Macaca fascicularis: one gene and its partners. The protein of the gene in region 6 interacts with the protein of the main gene of each other region in a pairwise test. Links are inferred from orthologs where the notes say so. Each region holds a gene or a part of one and is shown on either strand. Other genes may lie near its edges.

Region 1 (3,962 bases), on a different chromosome or scaffold from region 6:
GGCGGGAAGGGGCCTGGATGGGCATTGCTGTTGGCTAAGAGGCGGCCATAGGGAGGAGGTGGTGGGGGACCCTGGCTCCACACAGCCTGGGATGGGAGAGAAGGCTGAGTATACTTGGGGGGCTGATTGGAGACAGAGAGGCTTGTTGGGGGAGGGAAAGAGTGGGGGTAACTGGGCAATGCCTGGGAAGCTGGGTAGGGGGAGGCAGAGGAAGAGGAGGAAGAACTGGAAGAGGAGGCTGCTGCAGAGCTACTACTAGAGGATGAATAAGGAAACCTCATGGGGGGTGCTGGGGCAGAAGAGGAAGCAGGAGGCAGAGAGTGGGGTGAAGGAGCCAGAGTCGGGCCCTTCTCTGGGCCAGGAGGAAGTCCACCCATACCCTGCCCCATGGCATGGGGAGAGGGCAGATGCCCAGGTAGTGGTTGGGCCCCCAGGCCAGGGGGAGAGGCTGAGGCATTGTTGAGGGGTCTCAGGGCAGGTGGGGGAGGCAGGTTCGGGGTCACATGGGGGAAGTTGGCTGGTGGTGGAGCAGAAGGCAGGTTCCCACCACCCACCGGAGTGTTAGGTGGCTTAGCTGGGGGAGCACCGCTAGCCCCAGAGCTTGATACTGAAATGGGAGTAGTGGGTGGGGGGTGCTGCTTACCCCCATTAGGGCCCCCCACTGATGAGGCAGCCCCTCCCCCCTTGGGACCCATTGGGGGTCCAGACAAAACTCCTCCACCAGCGCCCCCAGGATAGAGCTGTGGGTGAGGGGGAGGGGCCCCAGGAGGAGCCTGGAACATTCGAGATGTGGGGGGCTCCATGGGAGCATGATATCCAGTGGGTGTCACAGAAGGATGGGGTTCAAAGCTAGCCTCTGGCTGTCGAGGGGTGCTGTCTGGCGGTGGAGGGGAAGGAGGAAAGAGTGGAGGTGGGTGGTAGGGGCGGGCTGGGCCCTGGGACAGGCCAGAAGATGAGTCGGAGTCATTCTCCACACTTCCAGGGCTGTAGATGCTGGGGGACGTGCTTCGGTTGTCCTGGTCAATATCCCTAGGGTCGCTGCTGCCATCATCATTAAGGCTCCGCCCATCCAAGCTATCCAGATCAGAGGGAGACTGTGGCCGAGGGAGTTCCTGCTGTAGAAAAGGGAAGCCTCATTTTTTCTCTTTTCCTTTCCTGCTTCCCTGAGATTTAGGGCCTGTCTTGCATAAAATCATTTCCCCTCACAGCACACTGTTGTACTGTGACGTGGTGAGTACCTCTTGCCATCTGGGGATTTCCCACTTTCCCCACATTCTTGGCTGCTCCTTAGCAGCCAGTCTTGTTTCTCTCCTATAAAACCCTATTCCTTCCTCAAGGATCCATCTCAAGCACCTTGTCTTTACCCACAGCTGACTCCAAATCCCTGTCTTCCACCATCTCATAACCACCACTTTAACCATCCTCCATCCCCCAAGCCCTTGGTTCTTAGACCACTTCTGGCCGGGCACAGAGGCTCACACCTGTAATCCCAGCACTTTGGGAGGCTGAAGCAGGAGGATCACTTGAGGCCAGGAGTTCCAAACCAGCCTGGCCAACATGGTGAAACCCTATCTCTACTAAAACTACAAAAATTAGCCGGGCGTGGTGGCTCATGCCTATAATCCCAGCTACTCGGGAGGCTGAGGCACAACTGCTTCAACCCAGGAGGCGGAGGTTGCAATGAGCTGAGATTGTGCCACTGTACTCCAGCCTGGGTGACAGAACGAAACTCTGTCTCAAAAACAAACCAAAAAAAACAATAAAAAAGAAAGACCACTTCTGCATTTTCCTTAAGATTTATTTGTTCCTCCCACTAAGACTTCTCACCCAGAGACTAGAATCCCCCAACTCTTCTGGTCCCCTTTGGCCCTGCCAGGTCATCTGGTGGTCTGTCAAAGTTCTAAGACTCTCTCTGGCATATTAGAGACAGAACTGCTCTCATAAGCACTATGATCTGGCCTTTCTCTTATGTCCCAGGAGAGATCCAGCTAAGAATAGTGAGCATAAGGAAATCTGAGAAAAGAATGATCACAAGATGGGTCAGGATGGCGACAAGGGTCTCCCACCTCAGTTTTGGTCTTTTTTGGTGCATTGGTCTCCTCACTTTCACTCTCTGAGATCTCCTCACTCCGACCCTGCTTGTTGACCTTTGGGGTGGAGGCTTCCTCTACTCGGGCCTTCTGTTAGAGAGAAAGAAAATTCCTGTCTTTTCCCTACCTCCCAAGTTTCACCGTTACCCTCTGCCAAACAGGAAGTTCCCCCGACAACACACACACCCCCTCAGCCCCAGTGCCTGGGCATCCTGTGGGAGGACCTGAGGACAGAATACCTTGGCTGTCTGCCTGGACTTCTCAGCTTTGCCATCACTGCTGGACGTGCTGACCCCTCCAGGGGAGGCCCGGCCCCTCGATCTCAGTTCTTCCCGGGGCCCAGGGGCCTCTTTCTTCCGTCCACTCCTCATTGACATCTGCAGGAGGAGGAAGGAGGTAGGTAACACTGTTCTTTACACTGCAGCTAACTTTATGGTGCACATTATTTGTTCTTCTCTAGACCCTTCCTCCTAGCTTGCCTGCCCCGCCCCTCATCTTTCACATCTCTCATTTTAACTCACCGAGTCTTTATTCTGTCGTGTCTTCATTCTTCAGGCTGTGGAGACCCCATTCTCCTCTGCCTGGGCAGCTGAATACAGAAACTTCTCTGCTCCACCCCAAGTTCCCCACAGCTGTGGTCTGGGAAGCAGGATCTCCAAGTTTCCAGTATAGGCACCTGGAACTTTTGCAGGATCTGTTTTCAGTGAAACCTGTTAGAAGGAAACCATCAGAGTCTCCCACTGGGAGAATAGAGTCACAAAGGAATACTATTACGCTTGTCAGAGAACTGAGCAAGCGGCCCAACCCTAAGCCTTTAGGCCAAGAGGTACAGATACCACAAGACATTGCTGGCTTGCCCCATGGGCCACCTTAGCTATCTAAAAGGCAGGGAGATTCTGCTTAAAGTATAATCTCTTTCACCTCTGTAGAGGGCAGAAAATTCAGATGTACCTACAAGCTCCAATCCAGGAGATGACACAGTTTGACCCTTCATGATCCCTAAAGGATATTTGTGAACGCACACATTCCACGGAGCCTTGCAAAGGAACATAAAGAAATGGAGCGGGGCATGGTGGTTCACGCCTATAATCCCAGCCCTTTGGGAGGCCGAGGTGGACGGATCGCAAGGTCAGGAGTTCAAGACCAGCCTGGCCAACATGGTGAAACCCAGCCAGGCGTGGTGGCGCGTGCCTGTAATCCCAGCTACTCAGGAGGCTGAGGCAAGCAAATCACTTGAACCTGGGAAGCAGAGGTTGCAGTGAGCCGAGATCATGCCACTGCACTCCAGCCTGGGTGACAGAGTGAAACTCTGTCTCAAAAAAAAAATGACGTTCAAGTATTAATTTATTGAGTACCTTCTTTATATCAAGCCCTTCACACACATGATTTCATTTAATATTTACAACCAACCCTGAATGGTAAGCATTATTACCTTCATTATATAGGTGAGGGAACTGAGGCTCAAAGATGGTGATTGTGACTAGCTCAACCTCACACAGTGAGGAACCAGTGACAGAGCCAGAATCAAACCCACGTCTGTGACTTCAAAGCCCATGCTCTTTCTTCTATACTTTGCTATATTCTCCTCAGAAGTTGGTGGGGAGAATTCTCAGAAGGCCTAGATCAGTCACAGAGATATGAAAAGAATCTTTTCTCACATCAGAGTAGGTAGAAGAAGAATGTCCCATTCTATAATACAAAGGAACACAGCCCTACCAATCCCAAGACTAAACCTAGGTAGCCCCAAATTGTAGAAGTTCACTTTTGAGAGCCTCATAAAGGACTCATTCTCTAGTACTTGAGCTCCCTAAGGCTAGAGGAAAAGTCAGGGTTTTCACATGAATGATTAAAGACTCAAAATATCCGTGAGCA
Region 2 (3,500 bases), on a different chromosome or scaffold from region 6:
TCAAGGAAAGCCCTCTGAAGAAATGGGGTTCGAGCAAAGCTGGAAGACTATGTAAGAAGCTGGCCAGGCATGACTGCAGGCAATCGCTGTAGGCAGAGCAAACCCATGCACAGATACACAGAGGGGAGAGGACGCTCGACCTGAACTGGGAACAGCAGCCAGCGGGGTCAGGGCACCAGCAGCAGGGTTGGTGTTGGGGGGATGTGGCAGGGCTCTGGCAGGTGGCTGTGTGGAGAACACGGAGTGGGGTGATAGAAGCAGGGCCAGTAAGGCTCCTGCAGGCAGATGGTGGCGAGAGACTCGGGAATATGTGACCTGGACTGGATGAGGTGATGGGGGAGGAGCGGGCCATGTCTTTTCCCCTAGATGTGAGTGGGTGGGTGGGTGTGCCATGTGCTGAGATGGAGAAGGCACCAGTGTCAGTGCTGGACAGGCCGAGATGTCAAGTGGAAATGTCGAGGAGGTGGTGGGAGCCACAGGTTTGTGAGGCCCAGGAGAGGGCCAGAGCTCCAGCTTTAAATTGGAGGGTCACAGCGTATGGAGGCCAAGGAAGCAGATGGGATGTTCGGGGGGAAAGTATGGACTGAAGCAGCTAAAGAACTGCAGCGTCTTAACAGACAGGAAGAGGGACAGCGACAGCGATGGAGCCTGAGAAGGCGGGTGCGGTGTCCCAGGCCATCTGCAGAGGGTCCACGATTAAACAGATCACACACATAGCACGGAGCATGCTGCCCAGCAGGCACACTCAGACCTGCTCAGGGGTGGTGGGGAGGGTCCTGCTCATTCCAGGTGAGACTGTGGGCTGAGGGCTCCAGGTGCTGGCAGCCTCTGAGCTGAGGAGGGCCAGTACCTTCCAGAGATCTCATGCCTTGCCCTGTGCTCTGCCAGATGGGCAGAATGACTTAGCCCTATAGGAGGCTTGCCCCACCTCCCTCTGGCCTGTTCGGAAATGGCCAACAGCTCCCGAGTTGGTCCAGCCCCCTCAGCACCTGCCCTGCCGACTGGGTGCACCGCTGGCCCTCAGCATCCTGACCTGCCCCACCTTGTCCTGCAGGAGGTGTTTCATAGAGAACTAAGGAGCAACTCCATGAAGACCTGGGGCCTGCGGGCAGCTGGCTGGATGGCCATGTTCATGGGCCTCAACCTTATGACACGCATCCTCTACACCCTGGGTAGGTGTCAGGGTGGGTCACTGCCCTCCCTCCTGCACCCCCACTGGCCTCTGCCTGTCGCATCATCTCAGCCCTTCCGGCCTGATGGGATGGCCCCTGCACAGAGACCAAGCATTTGGCTCATCTCTGTATCTCCACTCCATAGCCTTGGGATGAGGGAGCAGAGGAAGGCAGGCTGAGGGCAGGAGCTGCCAGGGGCGAGGCTGGGTGGGGCTGACTCTGGGGCACTGGTCTCACTCCACAGCCTGAAGGTTCGTCCATCCCCTGGCTCGCTCATTTGCTCATTCCTTTGATCCACAATTGATACCACATGGGAGCCTGTCAGACCTGCATTTGAAATCTGTCACGTCCAAGCTCTGGGTGCTTGGCCATTCCCTTCCCACCTCAGCTTCAGTCACCTCACCCCTCACATGCAGAGTTTTATGAATGTGGCAAATAGGAAACACCCAAAACTATCATGCTTCCTTCCTCACTCTAAAACCTGGGCTAGATTTGGGCAGCCAGCAAGTCCGGAGCATGAAGGAGAGTTCTGGGCCGCTCCTTGGCCTGAGGTTGGCACCAGCGAGCTCAGTAGGAGTCCTGTGGCCCAGTGTGGTTCGGGATCTGAGTGCCCAGGGTGACTAAGTACGTTCTGGGCCCAGGAGGATGGGGTTCCTCAGAGGACTGTCCATCCAAGCCTTTCCCTGGTGTGTATCCCTTCCAGTCACATGTTTGGGTCACGCCTTTTCTGGGTGCCAACAGAAACCTCTTCCCCACTCAGGATGTACAAGTCAGAAGAGGTCTGGCTGCACATCTCGGGCTGTCTGAGCCGGGGGGACCACCTCCTTTGTTTACAGTTGGGAAAACAGGCTCGGGAAGGGAAGGACTCTTTCCTTGAGCCTTTCTTTGGACAGCTGAATTGTGCTCAGAAAGACTAGTGACATGGTGGGCACATTAGGGAGACATCAGCATTTAAGTGGAATCCTCTTTCTTGCCTATGTGACCTTGGGCAGACCAGTTCCCTTCTGGAGCCTTGGTTTCCTCGTGTCTGTCTCAGTGGGCCCTTCTTTGGATCTCTACGTCTGTGATCCCAATTCACTCTATGTCTGGAATGAGCCAGACTCAGGACAGACTTAGAGCATGGAGGGACCCCCAGGGTGGGTGGGGTGAGTCGCTAGTGCAGCAGGGAAGCGCACACTCCCCCATGCGTTTGATAAATACTGACCGCCACGTGTAAGACTCCACAGCGAGAGAGACAGACAAGGATTAGAGCAGCGGCTCACAGCCCAGGCTCTGGGCCCAGACAGTCTTGAGTTCAAATCCTGGTTCTGGCACTTTCTAACAGGAGGACTTGGGGTGAGTTTCTTAATTCCCTGAGCCTCAGTGACCCCGTGGGCAAAATGGAGTTAAGAAGAGTGCCTACCTTACGGGGTGGGCATGAGCGCTTCATGAGATGGTGCACGTGGTGTCTAACACATAGGCAACATTCAGAAACACGAACTTTGCTTATTATAAGGGCTGAGTAGCAGTGCTGTATGGGAACAGACCAGGATGAGGCCAGGTGGTGGCTTGCAGGGTGTGCTGCAGGTATGGTGGGCACCAGGGCTTGCTCTGCAAACCCAGTGATTCCAGACCACTGGTGGCCCGGGAACTGAGCAAAGATTCCCTGAGTGGACATCAGCTATGGAATGCCAACCTGGAGAGGTCATACAAGGCAAGAATAGGGTAATTACGAATTTAGCTGGATTCTGGGCTTTCTCCTATTGGACCAATAGTTTGTGAGATCCTTGAGGAGAGGCCAATGCTTAGGCTAATTTATTTCCTCTAGTACCTGCCGGTTCAGTGCTGGGCACATAAATAATCAGTAACATCCTGCTGCATGAATGAACCAACACCTCTAGGAATGGCTGAGAGGCCCAAATAGGCACAGGAGGCTCCATCCACAGCCTCTTGTATGAGTGTGCAGGACCCAGGGTATTTCCAGCATTACAGGCAAATGTCTTTATGCTGGCCTCAGACTACTCTCCACATATAGTATTAAAGTTTACAAAGCACTGCCACATCCTCTCCCCGGAGCAGGGTAGAGTGGGTGGCTCAATGTGCCCAGCCACGCAGCTCATAGCAGAGACTCCTGTGCTCCCTTAGCTCTCAGAACGAGGCTCCTTGCCTTCCACCCCACTGACCCGCTCCCCTCCTCACGCACGTAGCAACAGGGGCCCATCCTCACCTAGGGACAGGAGCGATCTGCTGAGCTGGTGAGGTGTAGAGTGGGTGGCACCTCATCACCTTTCTCCTTTCCACAGTGGACTGGTTTCCTGTCTTTCGAGACTTGGTCAACATTGGCCTGAA
Region 3 (2,551 bases), on a different chromosome or scaffold from region 6:
AACACATATATCTCTCCCTTACATCCCACCCGAGCTTCCCAAGTGACTCCAAGATCTGGCCAACTCTGGACAATTGTCTCAGTGTGGCTCCAAAGGTCACAATCTCTGACCAGGCTACAAATCACCTGACCTTGGGCTAAGTGCCCATCAGCTGGGGCAAAGAATGGCAGGGGAGGGGACTTATGGGACTTATGGCTGCCTTGGATGTGGGCACGTGAGTGCAGCAGTCTCCCTTAGGTGTGCAGGGAAGGCACCCTGATTGACATGTCTGGTTCAGCTTGCACGAGTCCAGCTCTGTCTCCAGGGTGGCTCTCCAAGGAGCTTGGAGCACTATTGTGCCATCCCCAAGCATCGTAGATTCCCGACCGATACACATCCAGTTATAGCTCTTGAACTTCATGTCTCCAGGGTCAAGTGTGGCTGAGTGACCTGGGATCTCACAGTCCCATGCTCCTGGGGGCCCAACTCCATGTCGGAGAAGCTGGAGAACGTATGCCAAGTTGTATGCACTGTGTTCTTTATTGAGACAGAAGTGGGATGGGGAGGGTAACCCATAGGCAGAGAAGTGAAAGGAGGGAGGAGTGGAAGCCATCTATTTCCCAACTCTGCCTTTCCTCCCAGCTGATGATGGTGGGGGCTTAGCCACCAGCCATGGGATTAAGAAAGAAGACCCACCCCCCTTAGACCCCTTAGATACAAGCACAGTGTTGCGTGAGAAGGTTGGGCACTGTTTCATACTTGAAAGAGTATCCTCCATCCGAGGTGGTGCGGACATGTAGGGGCCTCATGGTCCCTGGGAGAGCAGCACAGCAGGGCTGGGCCCCTGGCAGCAAGGAAGGGGGCTGGGCTGGGGTAGGGGGAGCCCCAGGGACTGGAAGGGGCAGGTTTGGTGGGATGTGCAGCCCACAACCACCATGGCAGTAGTGGAAGATAAAACTGGGAGGGTACACGATCCACCGTTCCCAGCCCAGCTCCTGGAAGGAGATGTTCAGTGCTACTCTGTGGCAGTTGGCGTGGGCAGCTGGTTCCTCCGGAGGCCTCTGCAGCAGGCGCAGAGCAGAGGGAGACCAAGGCCAGGACATCGGGGGAGTTGAGCGTCGGGCTCTCTCCCCTCCACTGGGTGGTCTGGTCCGAGTGTGGGCCACCAGGAAGGGCGTGGCCTCAGGCTGGGCTGAGCAGGTACAGAGGGGACAGCGCAGCAGCAGCACCAGGACGGGGTGGGTCAGCAGTGAGAGAGCGGAGGTGGCCAGGTGCAGCACGGCCCAGCGAGGGGGGGCATGGCCCAAAGACATGGGCACAGCCACAGGTCCTGCCGGTGACAGTGCCAGCAGGCCTAGCAGGGGCTCAGAGCTATTGGAGGCTGCTGTGCCCTGCCTGTCCAGCCCAGTGTGGAACCACAGGTGGGCTGAAGTCACTTGGCGGCTGCGTGTGTGCTGGGATGGCCGGAACATGTATGTAAAGAGGCCCTCCTCAGCCTCCTGGGCCAGCCCTCCGGCAGTTGGCTTGTCCTCACAGCTGGCACCTGCAGGAGACAGAAGAAAAGGGAGAGGGCAGCCCTGACTGGCAGGGCCTGGTACCCCTCCTCTTCAGCAGAAGGGATGTGGCCGCCAGTCATGAGCCAATGATAGGCTGCACTCTGCTCCATGCCCTCCAGGATGTGGGGACTCTCCTGAGTTTGGGGAGAGCTTCTGTAGGCTCCCCATTTTTAAATTTCATCATGAAAGGACTTTAAAAAACAGAAGACATTGCCAACTTCTCTCTGAAGTGGTTTTACCAATTAACATGCCCATCAGCAGTGTGTAAGAGGTCCTGTCTCTCTCCACTTCACCAGCACTAAGAATTGGTATTAGACTTCAATGCTTACTCACCAGACGGTGTTAAACAGTATCCTGAGTGGTGTCTACATGGATGGTTGTTATGTTACTGTTTTTTTTTTTTCTTTTTTTTTGAGAGAGAGTCTTACTCTGTCACCCAGGCTGGAGTGCAGTGGCATGATCACGGCTCACTGCAGCCTCTACCTCCTGGGCTCAAGCAATCCTCCCACCTCAGCCTCCTAAGAGACCACAGGCGTGTGCCACCACACCCAGCTAACTTTTGTGTTTTTTGTAGAGACAGGATCTCACTATGTTGCCCAGGCTGATCTCAAACTCCTGAGCTCAAGCAATCTGCCTGCCTTCGCCTTCCAAAGTGCTGGGATTATAGGTGTGAGCTATCACACCCAGCCGTATTACTTTTTTTATTTTTTTATTTTTTTTGAGATGGAGTCTAGCTCTGTGGCCCAGGCTGGAGTGCAGTGGCACCATCTCGGCTCACTGCAACCTCCGCCTCCCGCTCTGCCTCCCGGGTTCAAGCAATTCTCCTGCCTCAGCCTCGCGAGTAGCTGGTGCCACCATGCCTGGCTCATTTTCTGTATTTTTAGTAGAGACGGGGTTTCACCATGTTAGCCAGGATAGTCTCGATCTCCTGACCTTGTGATCCTCCTGCCTTGGCCTCCCAAAGTGCTGGGATTACAGGTGTGAGCCACCGCGCCCGGCCCATATTACTCTTTATA
Region 4 (3,500 bases), on a different chromosome or scaffold from region 6:
AGATATAGATAAATGATCCCAAACTCAAACTAGCACAATAATTTTATTCAGAGAGGGTAACATATGGTTAGAAGTCTGGGCTCTGAAATTTAACATACTTATGTTTAAATTCAGGCTGTACCATGTAAACTGGGTATGGGTATATGACCATGGCCAAGTTGCTTATCCTAAGACTTAATTTCCTCATCTATAACGTGGAGATAAAAACAGTGTCTTGCCAAGTGGTATTACAGAAGACCAAACGTGGATCTTACATGGGAATTGCTTATTATTGTGACATGCACAGGAAATGGTCAATAAATTTTAACTATCAATTCTGTGTAGGCAAATCCATGTTTTTAGTAACATAAGAACTCTTCAATCGTTATAATAAGCTTAAGATGATCCAAAGCATTCTAAGAGGACTTTAAGACTTAATAGTGGTACTATTAAATTCCAGTGCCACAAGGCGCATTATTTAATAAGAAGTCGTATAATATTAATACTTCTAAGGAAGTCCCCTTATACATCCTACAATGTCTTAAAAGAGAGAGATGAATTTCAGTGCCTCCATTTTAAATGTAATTTATGACAATTCTCTTTTGGTGTTTCTTTGATTCTTGGTTACTACAAGTCTTCCTAATCAAACTTTCGTTTCTTTTTTTTTCTTCTTCTTCTTTTAGGAATTTAAAATTTTATTTTTGCTTTATGATTGTGGGAAATATTTACATGGTTTCAAAGTCAAATTTACAAGAAAAAAGTATATTCAAAGAAATGTAGCTTCTGCCACTTTCATTTCTTTTTAAAGAGGAGGTGGCCAGGTAAGATGGCTCTTGCCTATAATCCCAGCACTTTGGGAGGCTGAGGCAGGAGGATTGCTTGAGGCTGGGAGTTTGAGGCCAGCATGGGCAACAAAGTGAGACCCCTCTTGATAAAATAAAAAATTACCCAGACATGGCGGCACATGCCTGTAGTCCCAGCTACTCAGGAGGCTGAGGCAGGAGGATTGCTTGAGCCCAGGAGGTCAAGACTGTATTAAGCCATGATCAAGAAACTGTATTCTGGCCGGGCGTGGTGGCTCATGCCTGTAATCCCTGCATTTTGGGAGGCCGAGGCGGGCAGATCACGAGGTCAGGAGATCGAGACCATGCTGGCGAACATGGTGAAACCCCATCTCTACTGAAAATACAAACAAAAAAAAAAATTAGCCCGGCGTGGTGACAGGCGCCTGTAGTCCCAGCTTCGAGGGAAGCTGAGGCAGGAGAATGGGGTTAACCCGGGAGGCGGCAGAGCTTGCAGTGAGCCAAGATCGCGCCACTGCACTCCAGCCTGGGCGACAGAGCTAGACTCCATCTCAAAAAAAAAAAAAAAAAAAAAGAAACTGTATTCCTGCCTGGATGACAGAGCGAGACCCTGTCTCAAATAATTAAATAAGGAGGAGTACTCATTTAGAAAACAAAGAAAAAAAAGCCCATGTATACCCCTGAATAAGATAATAAGCTAAAATATCCCCCCACATAAAAACTTTAAGCCAAAAAGCATTTTAGCAGTAGAGTATCTTTTTCAGGAATAATGATTTCTGCCCCTCTAGAATATTAATATATCATCTGCTGCATAGTTGCCAGAAAAATCAAACGAGAAAATCAACAGAGAAATCCAGAAGCCATTCTTCTAAGTCTACTGAGCTTCCTAACCAAATTAATACCTTTGACCTTTGTAAGAAATAAAAATTACCATAATTAGGGCATGTTCAACTGATCTGGAAAAAAAGGAGATGGACTGTTAGGACTGTACAGATCAATCCATCTGATGAAGAAATTAAATGTTCACTGTACAACAACATGCGATGTGAACAATGAGGCTCACAGTCCACACCCTCAAGCTTACTCTGGGTATGAAGCAGAGACGTATATCTGTTTGTGTGAGATTTAGGCAGCTGAATTAAGAACTAAATCCAGTTGTATCCTCTGCAAATGGGTCTATTTATAGTACAAAGTATTCACGTTTTACTCTTTCCTCTGTGAAGGCCCACCCAAAGAAATACTTACAAAAGCATTAAGAAGGTTTTAAAGCTAAATATACAGAAAATAAAGTTACTTTTATCTTGAGACTTCTGCACATTAGTGGTGACTGTTGGAAGTTCCTTCACTGATAAAGCTAGTGCAACTTCTAAGTCTCTCTGGTAGAGCTTGTCATCTAAAGCCATCCTAAAATAGATACACAAGTAATGATGAGTTCTTCAAAACATCAGTCGCAACTGAAGAGCAAAGTTTGAGATTTCCCTAAATTACTATCCAAGAGTTGCTAACCTCACAAAAATGTTTTTAAACAATCATCATCATTAATAGATATTTGATGATGGGACTCTTAAAATGTCACAGTATCACGTTATATACAGAATAAGATGTTTGAAATAGGAGGAGCATGTGCCTCTTTGTAATGACTGTTGTGTCACCTACCAGCTGTGTCCAGGTGGGAAACACCTACTCAACCCAAAACAGACTTGGTTCAAACATCACTTCCGCTTAAAACTCTTCCTTGACCTCACCCACTCCCCTTTAGCAGATATTATAGCTCTCACATTAAATTAAAATTATTATCACTTTTTTACATCTATTCTTCCCAATCCAGACTTTAACAAGTATTTTACCAAGCACTTACTTTGTACAAGGCACTGCACTAGCTGGAATACTAAAAGTACCTTCAGGGAGTCTGCAATTAAAGGAGGAGGGTGGGGAAATAAGACAGGCTAATAATTATACTACAAAAGGCAGATCATAAAGTCCTATTCAAGTTGGTCAAAAGTGCTATGGAGTGTAAGAGGAAAAAAACATCAAAGAAGGAAAAGTTCCATAAAAGAAGCAGCACTGAGACGTACCTTAAACAATTTATATTTTTAGAACAGTTTTCTTAAGATATAATTCACAGATCATAAAGTTTTAAAGTAAACAATTCAGCAGTTTTTAGTACATTCGCAGAGTTGTAAAACTACCATCACTACCTAATTTCAGAACATCTTTACTACTCCAAAAAGAAACACCATACCCATGAGCATTCCCTTCCTGTTTACCTCTCTCCCAGCTCCTAGCAGCCATGAATCTACTTTCTGTTTCTATGGATTTGCCTATTCTGGACATTTCATGCAAATGAAATCGTATAATATGTGACCTGTATATCTGGCTTCTTTCACTCAGAATGATGTTTTCAAGGTTCATCCATATTACAGTATATATCAGTTATCAGTAGTCATTTCTTTCTATAGCTGAAAAATATTCCATTTTGTGGATACCACATTTCACTTATCCATTCATTAGCAGATAGACATTTAGATAGCCTCCATTTTTTTTTTTAGCTATTATGAATAATGTTGCTAAGAACATTCATGTACAGGTTGTGTGGGCATGTTTGCATCTCTCTTGGATACATACATAGGCTGGGTCATATAACTCTATGTTTAACATTTTGAGGAACTGCTAAACCATTTTCCAATTTGGCTGCACTATTTTACTTTCCCATCAGCA
Region 5 (4,210 bases), on a different chromosome or scaffold from region 6:
AACTGCTGAAAACACAGTTGCATTAGAGGCAAACACAAATACAACGAAATTAAGAAAAAACGCTTTCATATAGCCCATAACAAGATGGTTGGATTTAAAATCAAAGCTTCCTCACAATCATGTAGCTTCAGATTTAAAACACTTGTAATTTTGGACCTACGTAAGAGTGTAATTAATGTTTTAAGTGATAAAGCTTTGCATTCTGAGTATCAGCCTGTGATTTAAGAGAAAAATGTTTCAGTCTGAAGTAATCTAACAGTAAGACAAGCTTCTGAGCAGCACCTCCTCCTTCCTTCACGTGTGAGAAATATACTTCTTACAAGAATTACTTTTACGAAAAGTAAGTTTATCAAGTTTAACATCTAAAAAACACTAAATGGCAACATATCCCCAGTAAATATCTGCTTCAAGTAACTGGAAGCCATTAACACTAGTAAAAACACAGAATCCAAAAGAATTTTGGACGTTTTAGCAACACAATACTATGGCAACATGGCAGAGAAAATCATTCTGACTTTTAAAAATAAGATAACACACTACACTTTTAGTTTAACTGTTCCTTAATTAAGTACAACCTAACTTTGATTCGGCCTCTCTATTAGGAAAAATGCACTTGAGTCCACAGTCCAGAATATTTCCAATTCCACGGATCTCATGCAATGTACAAAGAAATTTCTTTCACAGAGACGACAGCCCAGCAGGCGATAAAAGATACATGTAAATCATCAGGCGCAAGGAGTACAAACTCAACTGCAGAACTGTTCAGAGGGCACAGAAATCAAACTTAGGAAATTCTTTTCTTTTCTTTAGTAATGCATGCCCATTACTTTTTCACAAGCCCATTTTATTAAAGAAATAAAAATGAGCCTGCAATTAAAATAAAATGGGGGAGCTCCATAAGCCTATTTCTGTTCATCAATTCAAATATTCTTAAATTCTTGGAGACCGTAAGAGTCTCTCTACCACCATCGGTCGACTACACACACACCCTACTCTGAAGAACTGGCTGAAACAGGCAAATAGTGGAGGTCACTGTTTTAAAATATAGGTATCTATATACAAATAGAATATGTCTGCCTCATCTTTCACTTCCAACAATAAAAGAGCCAGGGCGAGCACTGAGAGCAGCAGATCCGATTCATCCAGGGAACCACGGACTATCAGTGCACAGTAATTCCTGCAAAAGGTAACAGATCTGACCAGATCATGTTGCTGCCATTTCCCAGAGAAAAGACAGACCAATTGCCCCCACACCCATCTTCATCTGAAATACATATTCCAGGAAAAGTAGGAGACTGCTCCCGGGAAGGAAGGCTTAATTTACCGTGCATCCCAGCAGATGATTCAGGAAGCCACAGGAGGAGAAAGCCAGGGGAACAGGGTCCCGGGTAGGCGTGCCTCCAGATACCCCTGTATCCCTGTCCGGCAGTACTTCCTAGGACCCTTCATACCCTGAGCTGGCTAGAGTCGTGTGAAAACGGCAAGGACTCCCTTCACCACCGTTCCAAACCTCAAGCCAGCCACCAATGAGGGCCACCCAACCCAACGCCCCCCAGAAGGGTGCTCTTTTGCCGGCCTCCTCTCCCCTACTGACTTCTCCAAGGGCCAGCCTGCAAGGCTTGGCATGGGCTGCCCACCCCACCCCGGGGAGGGCTGACTGCCCCGCCAGGGCTGCTGGAGCCTGGGCACAGGAGAGACAAAGGGCTGGGAGGGTGAACTGGGCTCCTCCCCTGGGACCACGGAGCTCCTCTCCTCTCAGGTGCTGGGGTCTGACCCCAACCCTCTTCCAAGGTCCCCAAACTTCGCTAACAATCCAAGCACCTGTTCCCTTCGCCTCTTCTGCATTTCAGTCCCTCAAGTCCTTCCATTTTCCTCCAGCTTTTTCTCCAGTACCTCAGACAATCCAAACACCCTACTTCCCCGAGTCTAACACGCTCCCCTCCCATGAGATAATTCAACCTCGTCCCCAACAAAGCCCCCAGATGGTCGCTGTCCCCTACCCAGAAGTTTCCCCTGGGTGTCTCCGAGTCCCCAAAGATTTCCTTCAAGTCTCACCCACGCGCCCCAGCCTTCTCCTTCCTTTCCGAGTCCCCAAAATTCACATCGGGGTCTTCCCCTAGGTGTCCCACAGCCTCCCAGGTCCCCGTGCAAACGCCCCCGGGGGCCATTCGGGCCTCCGTCTCCGCCGCGTCCGCTAACAGCAGAGCGCACGGAGGCGCCCCCCGGGCCCCCGCGTTTCCACCCGGCCCCCAACCGCCGCCGGCCGGCAGTTAACGGCCGGCGCCTCACCTTGGTTCACCAGGCGCAGGGCGTGCGTGAAGGAGGGGTCCAGGGAGTCCTTCTCCGCCATCAGCTCGGGTAGGTACTTCTCCTCCATGCTCGCCGGCCGCCGGGCCCGGGACGTGGACTCCAGGCGCACGGGCGGCGGCGCCAGGCAACCCCCGACTCCGCCCGCGCCCCCAGCGGCGCGGACCCGGGGGCCAGACGCGGCGGCTGCGGCCAAGCCGGGCAGTCGGCTGGGAGGAGGCGGCGGCGGCGGCGGCACGGGGGCGGGAACCGGCCGCTGAGCCCCGATCCCCGGTGGCCGCCGAGTGCCCAGCGCCGGCGGCCCCCGCGCTCCGGGCGCGGGCCAAGGAGGAGCGGGCGCGGGCGGCGCGGTTAGGCAGGCCCTCGGGTCGGGCTGGCGGCGCGCTCGGCGCCCCTGAGGCAGTCCACGGCGATCCCCGCCAGTCCCGCCAGCACCTGCCAGCGCCCGAGCCACAGCTGCAACCTACACGCCGCGCGCCTCCCCGCGCACTCTGAGCCGCCGCGCCGAGCGCCCAGCGCCTGCCGCTGGCCCCGCCCCTCCCGGCCCCGCCCCGCCCGGCCCCGCCCGGCCCCGCCCCGCCCCGCCCGGCCCCGCCCCGCCCGGCCCCGCCCCGCCGCCCCGCGCCTGCGCACTGGCGCCCACCGCCCCACCGCGCGCCGCCTCCTGGGGCCGCTCTCGGCTGCGCGCCCGTCGGGACTAACCGGGCGTCTGCGAGAAGGGGTGCTTCAAGGGCCTCTCCCGCGTGCCTGGCGCCCACCTTTGGCCCTGAGGGTCGAGTGGGGAGCCCCACGACCCTCTTACAGCCTTCCAGATGCACGGACTGGGAAACTGGGGCTCAGAGAGGTCAAGTGGCTCGCCCAAGGTCACCCAGCGAGTGATCCTGGGAAGAGGGGACAAGGGTCGAGCTGGAGCTGGGAAGGGCGCCCCAGTTCGCCCCAGCCGCGCTCTGAGGAAAAGCAGCGGGACCGTCCTGCTCTCTAAAGCTCCGTGGACTTCTTTAAGTTATGTCGCGTTGCTGTCCCCTCGTATTTACAAGAGAGTAAGGCAGGGGCGCCGTACTTTCTCCTCTCCTGAGCTCAGAGGGCCAACCTCCTGCGATCCGCCAGCTCAGAGGTCTGTTACATAAAAGCGCGTGTCCTTCTGGGCGTCTTTGTCATCCCGACTTGCTCCTGGGTTGTCATTCTCTTAGGTCATAAACCGGCTGTGCCTGGACACAGCTGAGTGAGCCGCGTCTGAGCTCATCCGCTCCCGGGGAGAGGCCCTGGGACGCCCCGCCTGTCGGTGGCAATGCCCTCTGTCCCCTTCCGCCCACCCCCAACCCCCAGCAAATGCGCTCCCAGGCCATTTCATATTTCCCGAGGCATGTGGAATAAACGTCCCCCAGGAAGGCCAAGGACTTCAGTCCTTGCCCTGACGTTTTTCCTGCCTTCAAACACCCAGCTCAAGTCCCAGCCTCAATGTCACCTTCCCTGGACAGCCTATCAGGACCTCCCTGGCAAAGCAAGTCACTTCTCTGTGTCCCCCCCAGTTCGGTCAGAGGTCATTCACAGTCAGCTGTAATTCTGTTTTCAGTAGACCATGAACATCAGGGACAGAGCTTGAGTTTTGTTTTTGAGGGGGAACGTCCCCAGCGTGTCATACAGGGGGCAGGGATGGAGGGTACTGGAAATGTCTCTTGGAGGAGTAAGTCAGTGGCATGCCACTTTCAGCCAATGGCCTGAGGACAATCCCCACACTCCCCCAGGCAGCCCCCGCCCTCCCAGTGCAAATGGAGGCGGCTTTACAAACCTCGAAGGGAGTGGGAGGTGGTAGAAATCTTGGAAGCTCTAAGTCCCAGCCCCAGTACTCAATTGCCCTCACTCTCAAGGCCCCACTCCTCCCCTCTCCGGGTAAGGTGCCTTT
Region 6 (2,885 bases):
TTTATCCAGGACTTCACCTGTAACTCCCTATACCTATCAATAGCTGACTCCAAATTAGAAAGAAATAAGAGTAAGGGAGTCTCAGGGAGAGAGTCCTAGCAAAACGGATTCGATTAAACTTCAGTTCCTTGTATAGTTTCTCTAGTTGTTTATGGTCCATCTTCTATTTTAGCATTTATTATTCCATGTAGTCTATCCAAAGACGATTAAGGGAGTTCCAAATGTTTTCCGGAATATTTTGAAAAGAGAGCTTATCCAGTGTACAGATCCTAATAAAGTGCACATTCAGTGTAATTTTATTTTTTAGTATGTTACTTTTTAAATTCTATTTATTTTTCTTTCTCTTTTGCTCAGTAAATTTTGCATGAAACTTTAAGTACTTCTGGCATGTAAACATTATTTGTAAAATAAGTCATGGTTATAATTATTTTTCTCCTGCCTCCTTATGTATTTATTTCAGAAATGAGCCGTCAGACTGCTACAGCATTACCTACCGGTACCTCGAAGTGTCCACCATCCCAGAGGGTACCTGCCCTGACTGGCACAACTGCATCCAACAATGACTTGGCGAGTCTTTTTGAGTGTCCAGTCTGCTTTGACTATGTGTTACCACCCATTCTTCAATGTCAGAGTGGCCATCTTGTTTGTAGCAACTGTCGCCCAAAGCTCACATGTTGTCCAACTTGCCGGGGCCCTTTGGGATCCATTCGCAACTTGGCTATGGAGAAAGTGGCTAATTCAGTACTTTTCCCCTGTAAATATGCCTCTTCTGGATGTGAAATAACTCTGCCACACACAGAAAAAGCAGACCACGAAGAGCTCTGTGAGTTTAGGCCTTATTCCTGTCCGTGCCCTGGTGCTTCCTGTAAATGGCAAGGCTCTTTGGATGCTGTAATGCCCCATCTGATGCATCAGCATAAGTCCATTACAACCCTACAGGGAGAGGATATAGTTTTCCTTGCTACAGACATTAATCTTCCTGGTGCTGTTGACTGGGTGATGATGCAGTCCTGTTTTGGCTTTCACTTCATGTTAGTCTTGGAGAAACAGGAAAAATACGATGGTCACCAGCAGTTCTTTGCAATTGTACAGCTGATAGGAACACGCAAGCAAGCTGAAAATTTTGCTTACCGACTTGAGCTAAATGGTCACAGGCGACGATTGACTTGGGAAGCGACTCCTCGATCTATTCATGAAGGAATTGCAACAGCCATTATGAATAGCGACTGCCTAGTCTTTGACACCAGCATTGCACAGCTTTTTGCAGAAAATGGCAATTTAGGCATCAATGTAACTATTTCCATGTGTTGAAATGGCAATCAAACATTTTCTGGCCAGTGTTTAAAACTTCAGTTTCACAGAAAATAAGGCACCCATCTGCCTGCCAACCTAAAATTCTTTTGGTAGGTGGAAGCTAGACACATGAAGGTAAATGAAAGGAAAGGCTGTTAAATACAGGAAACAGTTGCATGTAGTAACACTAATATATTTAAAAATAAGTCAACAGTAAACCACTGAAAAAATATATGTATATACACCCAAGATGGGCATCTTTTGTATTAAGAAAGGAAGCATTGTAAAATAATTCTGAGTTTTGTGTTTGTTGTAGATTGATTGTATTGTTGAAAAATAGTTATTTTGTTTTGTTTTTGCGTGGGAGTGTGTGCGTGCGTGGGTGTGTGCGTGTTTGGGTTTTTCTCCTTTAACTGACAAGCCATCTTGAGTGGTCATGGGCCACTGCTTTTCCCCTTTGTGAGTCAATACATAGTGCTGCTGTGTGCTTTTTTGTGTGTGTATTTGCTAATTTTTATTAATTTTAGTTTTTCATTAAATAAATTTGACTTTCCTTTCTGTAATTCAGGTTTTTCTTCACTTTTTTTGTACCATTTTAAAGTTAGTGTCTTTTGATATGCATACTTGTTATGGTAAAAGTTTGTAACATGTGTTCAATATTTTCTTTTCCCCCATTAATCAGTTCATTAGAAATATTTTAAAATCAGCTACTTTGTGAAGCTATGAGTTCCAGAAAGTAAAGGTGACATCGGAAAAATGATCAAAAGCTATTTAAAGCATCTGTAAGATGGTCTCTCTCTTTCTCTCTTCTACGGATGAGTCACACCTTTGAGCTTAATCTTTGAAAGGTTAGAGAATAAATTGATTTTTATAAGTACTGCAAATCAGGCTTTTGTTTCCTTTTTCAAATATCTTGGATAAATCACATGTTTAAAATTTGTTCTTGTATTTATTGGTTTTGCAAAAGAAGGCATCGTCATGCACAGTATTTGTAATTAAAAGCAAATCATTTGTTTAAAAAGGCAGTTTGCAAAAAAATGTTTTTGGTCTTTTATAATTCTCATTAAAAGAATTTCTGGCAAATTAAAAAAATCTTACTGTGTCTGCTTTAGCTCTAAGTTTGATAAAATCCAAAGTTATTTTCCTGTTTCATTCCGTACTTTAATTATATAGCAGAAAGCTGTGTGTTGTCATTTTTAAGTGTGGTAGAGTTATACTCTAAATCACAGCAAATAACTGGGTATATGGCTTCTGGATTACAGTCTTTCCCATGCTCTGCCCCTCTTGCCCACATTTTGATTCTTACAACTGTCAGGAGAATGACTAAAATGCTGACCACTTTTCACCTCTTTAAAAAAGCACAATGAAATAATAAATTTACTATTTCATAGCCTAGTGGTTAAGAGCCTTGGTTCTGCAGCCAGACTTCAGGCACCTAAGTGCCAGTCTCGGCTCTACCCCACTAACCAGCTGTGTGACCTTGGGCCCCAGTTTCCTAATGTGTAAAGTGGGGTTAAATTATGGTAGCTACTTAAAAAGTTTTAATGGGGTACAGGTATGTTACCTCAAACAGTGCTTTGTTCATATCAGCA
Region 7 (3,500 bases), on a different chromosome or scaffold from region 6:
TTGCATAGCTTTAAATGCCATCTATATGCTCTCAACTTAGAATTTTATGTCTCCAGTCCAAACGACCCACCTAAACTCCAGATTCATAAATTCACCTGCTTGCTTGGCCTCCATTTTGATGTCTACTACCCCAACATCTTCACCCCAATTTTTTCTATCCCAGTTATACAACCTCACGCTTCCAGTAGTTTAGGCCATAAACATGGGAGTCGCTTTTAACTCCTGCCTTTCTCCCCAAATTTACATCAAGTCATCAGCAAATGTTGCTGGGTTTGTCTTCAAAATGTTTCTACAATCTGACTACTTCTCACTACCTCCGCTGCTATCACTTTGTCCATCAACTCTCACTAGACTACTGCATTCGCCCTCTCGTTCTTCTCCCTGCTCCACCCTTCACCCCATTCGGGTCTTCCCAGCTCAGCAGCCACCGTGATTCTGTTAACACACAGGTCAGATCCAGCCACCTCTTTATTCAAAGCTCTCCATTTCACCCAGAGTTCTCACAGTGTCCTATACAATCTGTGTACCTTCCCTCTCTCCTACCATTCTCCACCACTGCCTCTCCCCTCCTGATCTCTTCCCTCTTCCTCCAGTTCTCCCTGAGTGCTCCTCCTGCCTGTGGCCTTGGATTTGCATTGATCAGAATGCTCTTCCCCCAGATAGCCATGTGGCACATTCTCCTCCCATCCTTCCCTGACCGTGCTATTTAAAATTATGACTGATGGACTATTTTAGGAATTTCTTTTTGTATCTTGTCTCGATAAATTCAGTTGTAATAGAAACTACCAGCCACTACCAGGATGAAGGAAACCGAACTTGCTGTCGAGTCTGAACATGTCACCAACTAGCTGTTGACCTTGGGCAACTTGATTTTGACCCTTGAGGTTTAGTTTCCTTATTTGCATAATAGGAATAATGTCCTGGCCACTCACAAGATATTATGAGATAATGTATATTATATACAATTACAAGTCATGCATTCAGCCCAAGGTAATATATAGCTGGACCCCTTTTTCTTCTCCGGAAGTGTAAAAGTAGCTGCATGAAGGAGGAGAATTTGACCCTAAGCATTCATGAAAAGCTTACCTTTTAGACCACAGAGTCCACACATGGCTGTAAACACTGTAGATTCCATTTCAATATTCCTGACGCCAGCTTTATATGCTCTCTTCAAGTAATCTAACTTTTTTTCTCTGGAAAAGGAGCACAGTGCTCCATCTAGTCGGCCTTGGCCTGAAAGGGAGGGGAGAACGTTTAGTGACTTGATGTCCCACCCCACTGTCAGTGGCGTCACAAGAGGCTGGCTGTTGGCTGGAGCCCTCCGCGGCTGTCTCTAACTCTGCAGTGTGCTTCCCATGTAGGATAAACTGAGCTGTGTGACTCTTCCTACCAGAGGACCATGGAACGAGGCTGTCCCTGGCTCAGGAGTCTCATATGTAGGAAGGAGCGTCCATGGCCGAGGGCCTCAATTCTGGGGTCAGTCACTGCTGAGTGGCTATGGTAGCCAGCACTGTGCCCAGGCAAATCAGGAAGTGGCGGGTTGCTGTGAGAGCTGCCCTTTGAAGAGAATCTCAGGTTGCTCCAATGACTGGGGAATGGCCCAGGGACGGGTGCTGGGAGAGAAAAAGAGGCTTCCAGACACTAAGCTACTTGAGGATCAGGACAGTGTTTGCACATTGCGCCTCTCCTTATGCCCTTTGCGACACTGTCCGCCTTCCGCCTTTCCGCACACCTCTCAGGCTGCATGCCACCCCTTGTGATCATGTTTTCCTTTCCAGGCTGCTCCCAATATTCATTCGTCACTGAATTTCACCTGTATCCTCCAGTGCAGGCAGAAGCAAGAAAAGGAAAGTCTGATGTCATTACTCCTCCTGTACGCTGTGCACACCCAGAAATAGACCTTCTAATGCCTCCCCACTCCTGAAAAGGCCTGGATTCAAGCAAATGGCCTAATAGCACGCGGTTGCCATCCATTATTTTCGCAATCCCCTTTTTGGTGCTCTTTCCTCTCTTTTTCTCCCTTTCCTCTAACTCTTTCATGCTACCTTCACCCCGGCAGTCTGCTTCCCCTTGTTCCTTCTCTTCTCATTAGAGCTGCCTGCCGACACCTCTGACAGAGTGCGATTTAAGCTGATTCAAACAAGACCTCGCAGGAGCCACGCAGGTAATGCCGACGCAAGTGTCTGGTCGGAGGGGAGCAGCCTCACCCCCGCCTCAGCAAACGTAGCCCCAGATGTGGGTCAGGGCTTGCCAAGGCTGCCATGCATATATTCTACATTTTTAAATGTTAGTTCTTTCAAAAAGCCAGAAATGTGGATGTTCATATAACATTTCCAGATATTGTAAATGTTGGCAAAATAATTCACATTTTTTAAAATGCTGTGCAGGCCAAAGGAAACATTGACTTTAACAAACTGCCATTTGCAAACTCTGCTTAACATATCAGTGAGTGACCCTCGGGATGGAGGGACTGTGAGTCAGTGGGCTTAAACAGAGGGTCTCAGCCCTTTCAGACCCCAACAGCCCTGCTATTTTACAACAAGTATGTGGTAAAACCACCTTTACTAACTGGAAGTAAAATGTATAGATAATATGACCTATCTCCAAACATAATTTCTTAAAATCCAATATAGTATTTTAAGTTTGATCCAAAGGGAAAATAAAAATAATTTATAATGAAATAGTATGGATTTTGAAAAGAATATAACTATACTGCCAGATTTTCAGAATGCCCTTCAAGGCACGGTACCAACTCTATGTAGATTCTTTCTTCTGGGACGAGAAAAGTTGGGGGTCTGTCTTTGAAGGTTTCTTCCCCTGGGCCTTTCATCTCTAGTAGCAAGCCCGCTACATAGCAGTCACCTTCCATTTGTCTCTAAACTCGGTCTGGGGGCCCCTTATTCATGGCTGAGAGACAAAACCCCACTCGGATCACACCATCCAGTGGGATTTATACCTCCTCCCCAAGCATTTCTCCCCATTTTCTGGCCCACTCTTTCCTGGGGACAGAATCCCTTTTAAGGTACAGACGAATGGCAGAAACACAGAATCAGTATACTTCCCTTCTCTTAGAGATGCTAATCTAAGTTAAAGGCATTCAACAGAGATAAGATTTTGTGAACATCACTAATTACATTTTAGTGTTCAATTTGTTCTTGGAGGATTAAATTCACCCTCAATAGAAATTCATTCTGGGTGTTTCTCTGCTGCTCGTTATGTCCTTGTGTCTTTATGCTTTAGTAAGTAAAAAAAGGCTGTTTCAGTTCCTTTTTAATCCACAAATATTAATTTTCTAAAGGAGAGCTTTTAATATAAATTATGGGTTTGAATAACAAAGAGTTGCTGGCATTTTTCTGTTGCCTTCCCAGTTTATAAACTGTTCTCACCTTCATAAAAATCATAGGTACACATTGTATGTCCAATGAGGGTTGGGAAGTTGGGGATTTCTTTGCTACAGTTGAACAGTTCTTCAGATAGTTCCTTGTCAAGTTCCGTACTTC

The links.
Region 1: the proteins of SIAH1 (region 6) and ATN1 interact in a two-hybrid assay, tested with the Homo sapiens proteins (2 studies listed by BioGRID and IntAct). The link is inferred for Macaca fascicularis from reciprocal best matches to the Homo sapiens genes SIAH1 and ATN1.
Region 2: the proteins of SIAH1 (region 6) and TMEM43 interact in binary tests that used the Homo sapiens proteins (3 or more experiments, as listed by UniProt). The two-hybrid records come from large-scale screens. The link is inferred for Macaca fascicularis from reciprocal best matches to the Homo sapiens genes SIAH1 and TMEM43.
Region 3: the proteins of SIAH1 (region 6) and INHA interact in binary tests that used the Homo sapiens proteins (3 or more experiments, as listed by UniProt). The two-hybrid records come from large-scale screens. The link is inferred for Macaca fascicularis from reciprocal best matches to the Homo sapiens genes SIAH1 and INHA.
Region 4: the proteins of SIAH1 (region 6) and RAD51AP1 interact in binary tests that used the Homo sapiens proteins (3 or more experiments, as listed by UniProt). The two-hybrid records come from large-scale screens. The link is inferred for Macaca fascicularis from reciprocal best matches to the Homo sapiens genes SIAH1 and RAD51AP1.
Region 5: the proteins of SIAH1 (region 6) and KHDRBS3 interact in a two-hybrid assay, tested with the Homo sapiens proteins (3 studies listed by BioGRID and IntAct). The link is inferred for Macaca fascicularis from reciprocal best matches to the Homo sapiens genes SIAH1 and KHDRBS3.
Region 7: the proteins of SIAH1 (region 6) and UPP2 interact in binary tests that used the Homo sapiens proteins (3 or more experiments, as listed by UniProt). The two-hybrid records come from large-scale screens. The link is inferred for Macaca fascicularis from reciprocal best matches to the Homo sapiens genes SIAH1 and UPP2.

Annotation. Positions count from the first base shown.
Region 1 is NC_088385.1:7,870,146-7,874,107, reverse strand, and holds the start of ATN1 (atrophin-1), read right to left. Parts: upstream 2,801-3,962; 5' UTR 2,639-2,800; coding exon 2,612-2,638; intron 2,487-2,611; exon of another isoform or gene 2,468-2,486; coding exon 2,330-2,467; exon of another isoform or gene 2,252-2,329; intron 2,181-2,251; coding exon 2,067-2,180; intron 1,116-2,066; coding exon 1-1,115. UniProt on the Homo sapiens protein: Transcriptional corepressor. Recruits NR2E1 to repress transcription. Promotes vascular smooth cell (VSMC) migration and orientation. Corepressor of MTG8 transcriptional repression.
Region 2 is NC_088376.1:152,403,601-152,407,100, forward strand, and holds part of TMEM43 (transmembrane protein 43), read left to right. Parts: intron 1-1,054; coding exon 1,055-1,172; intron 1,173-3,454; coding exon 3,455-3,500. UniProt on the Homo sapiens protein: May have an important role in maintaining nuclear envelope structure by organizing protein complexes at the inner nuclear membrane. Required for retaining emerin at the inner nuclear membrane.
Region 3 is NC_088386.1:115,506,176-115,508,726, reverse strand, and holds the end of INHA (inhibin alpha chain), read right to left. Parts: intron 1,523-2,551; coding exon 690-1,522; 3' UTR 501-689; downstream 1-500. UniProt on the Homo sapiens protein: Inhibins and activins inhibit and activate, respectively, the secretion of follitropin by the pituitary gland.
Region 4 is NC_088385.1:5,402,313-5,405,812, reverse strand, and holds part of RAD51AP1 (RAD51-associated protein 1), read right to left. Parts: intron 2,692-3,500; coding exon 2,641-2,691; intron 2,187-2,640; coding exon 2,077-2,186; intron 947-2,076; exon of another isoform or gene 928-946; intron 1-927. UniProt on the Homo sapiens protein: Structure-specific DNA-binding protein involved in DNA repair by promoting RAD51-mediated homologous recombination.
Region 5 is NC_088382.1:145,088,316-145,092,525, reverse strand, and holds the start of KHDRBS3 (KH domain-containing, RNA-binding, signal transduction-associated protein 3), read right to left. Parts: upstream 2,801-4,210; 5' UTR 2,378-2,800; coding exon 2,290-2,377; exon of another isoform or gene 1,332-2,289; coding exon of another isoform or gene 1,325-1,331; intron 1-1,324. UniProt on the Homo sapiens protein: RNA-binding protein that plays a role in the regulation of alternative splicing and influences mRNA splice site selection and exon inclusion. Binds preferentially to the 5'-[AU]UAAA-3' motif in vitro.
Region 6 is NC_088394.1:44,266,633-44,269,517, reverse strand, and holds the end of SIAH1 (E3 ubiquitin-protein ligase SIAH1), read left to right. Parts: intron 1-460; coding exon 461-1,311; coding exon of another isoform or gene 1,312-1,414; 3' UTR 1,415-2,385; downstream 2,386-2,885. Other genes in the region: LONP2 (lon protease homolog 2, peroxisomal), read right to left, coding at 1,295-1,414. UniProt on the Homo sapiens protein: E3 ubiquitin-protein ligase that mediates ubiquitination and subsequent proteasomal degradation of target proteins.
Region 7 is NC_088386.1:53,595,542-53,599,041, reverse strand, and holds part of UPP2 (uridine phosphorylase 2), read right to left. Parts: coding exon 3,387-3,500; intron 1,234-3,386; coding exon 1,087-1,233; intron 1-1,086. UniProt on the Homo sapiens protein: Catalyzes the reversible phosphorylytic cleavage of uridine to uracil and ribose-1-phosphate which can then be utilized as carbon and energy sources or in the rescue of pyrimidine bases for nucleotide synthesis.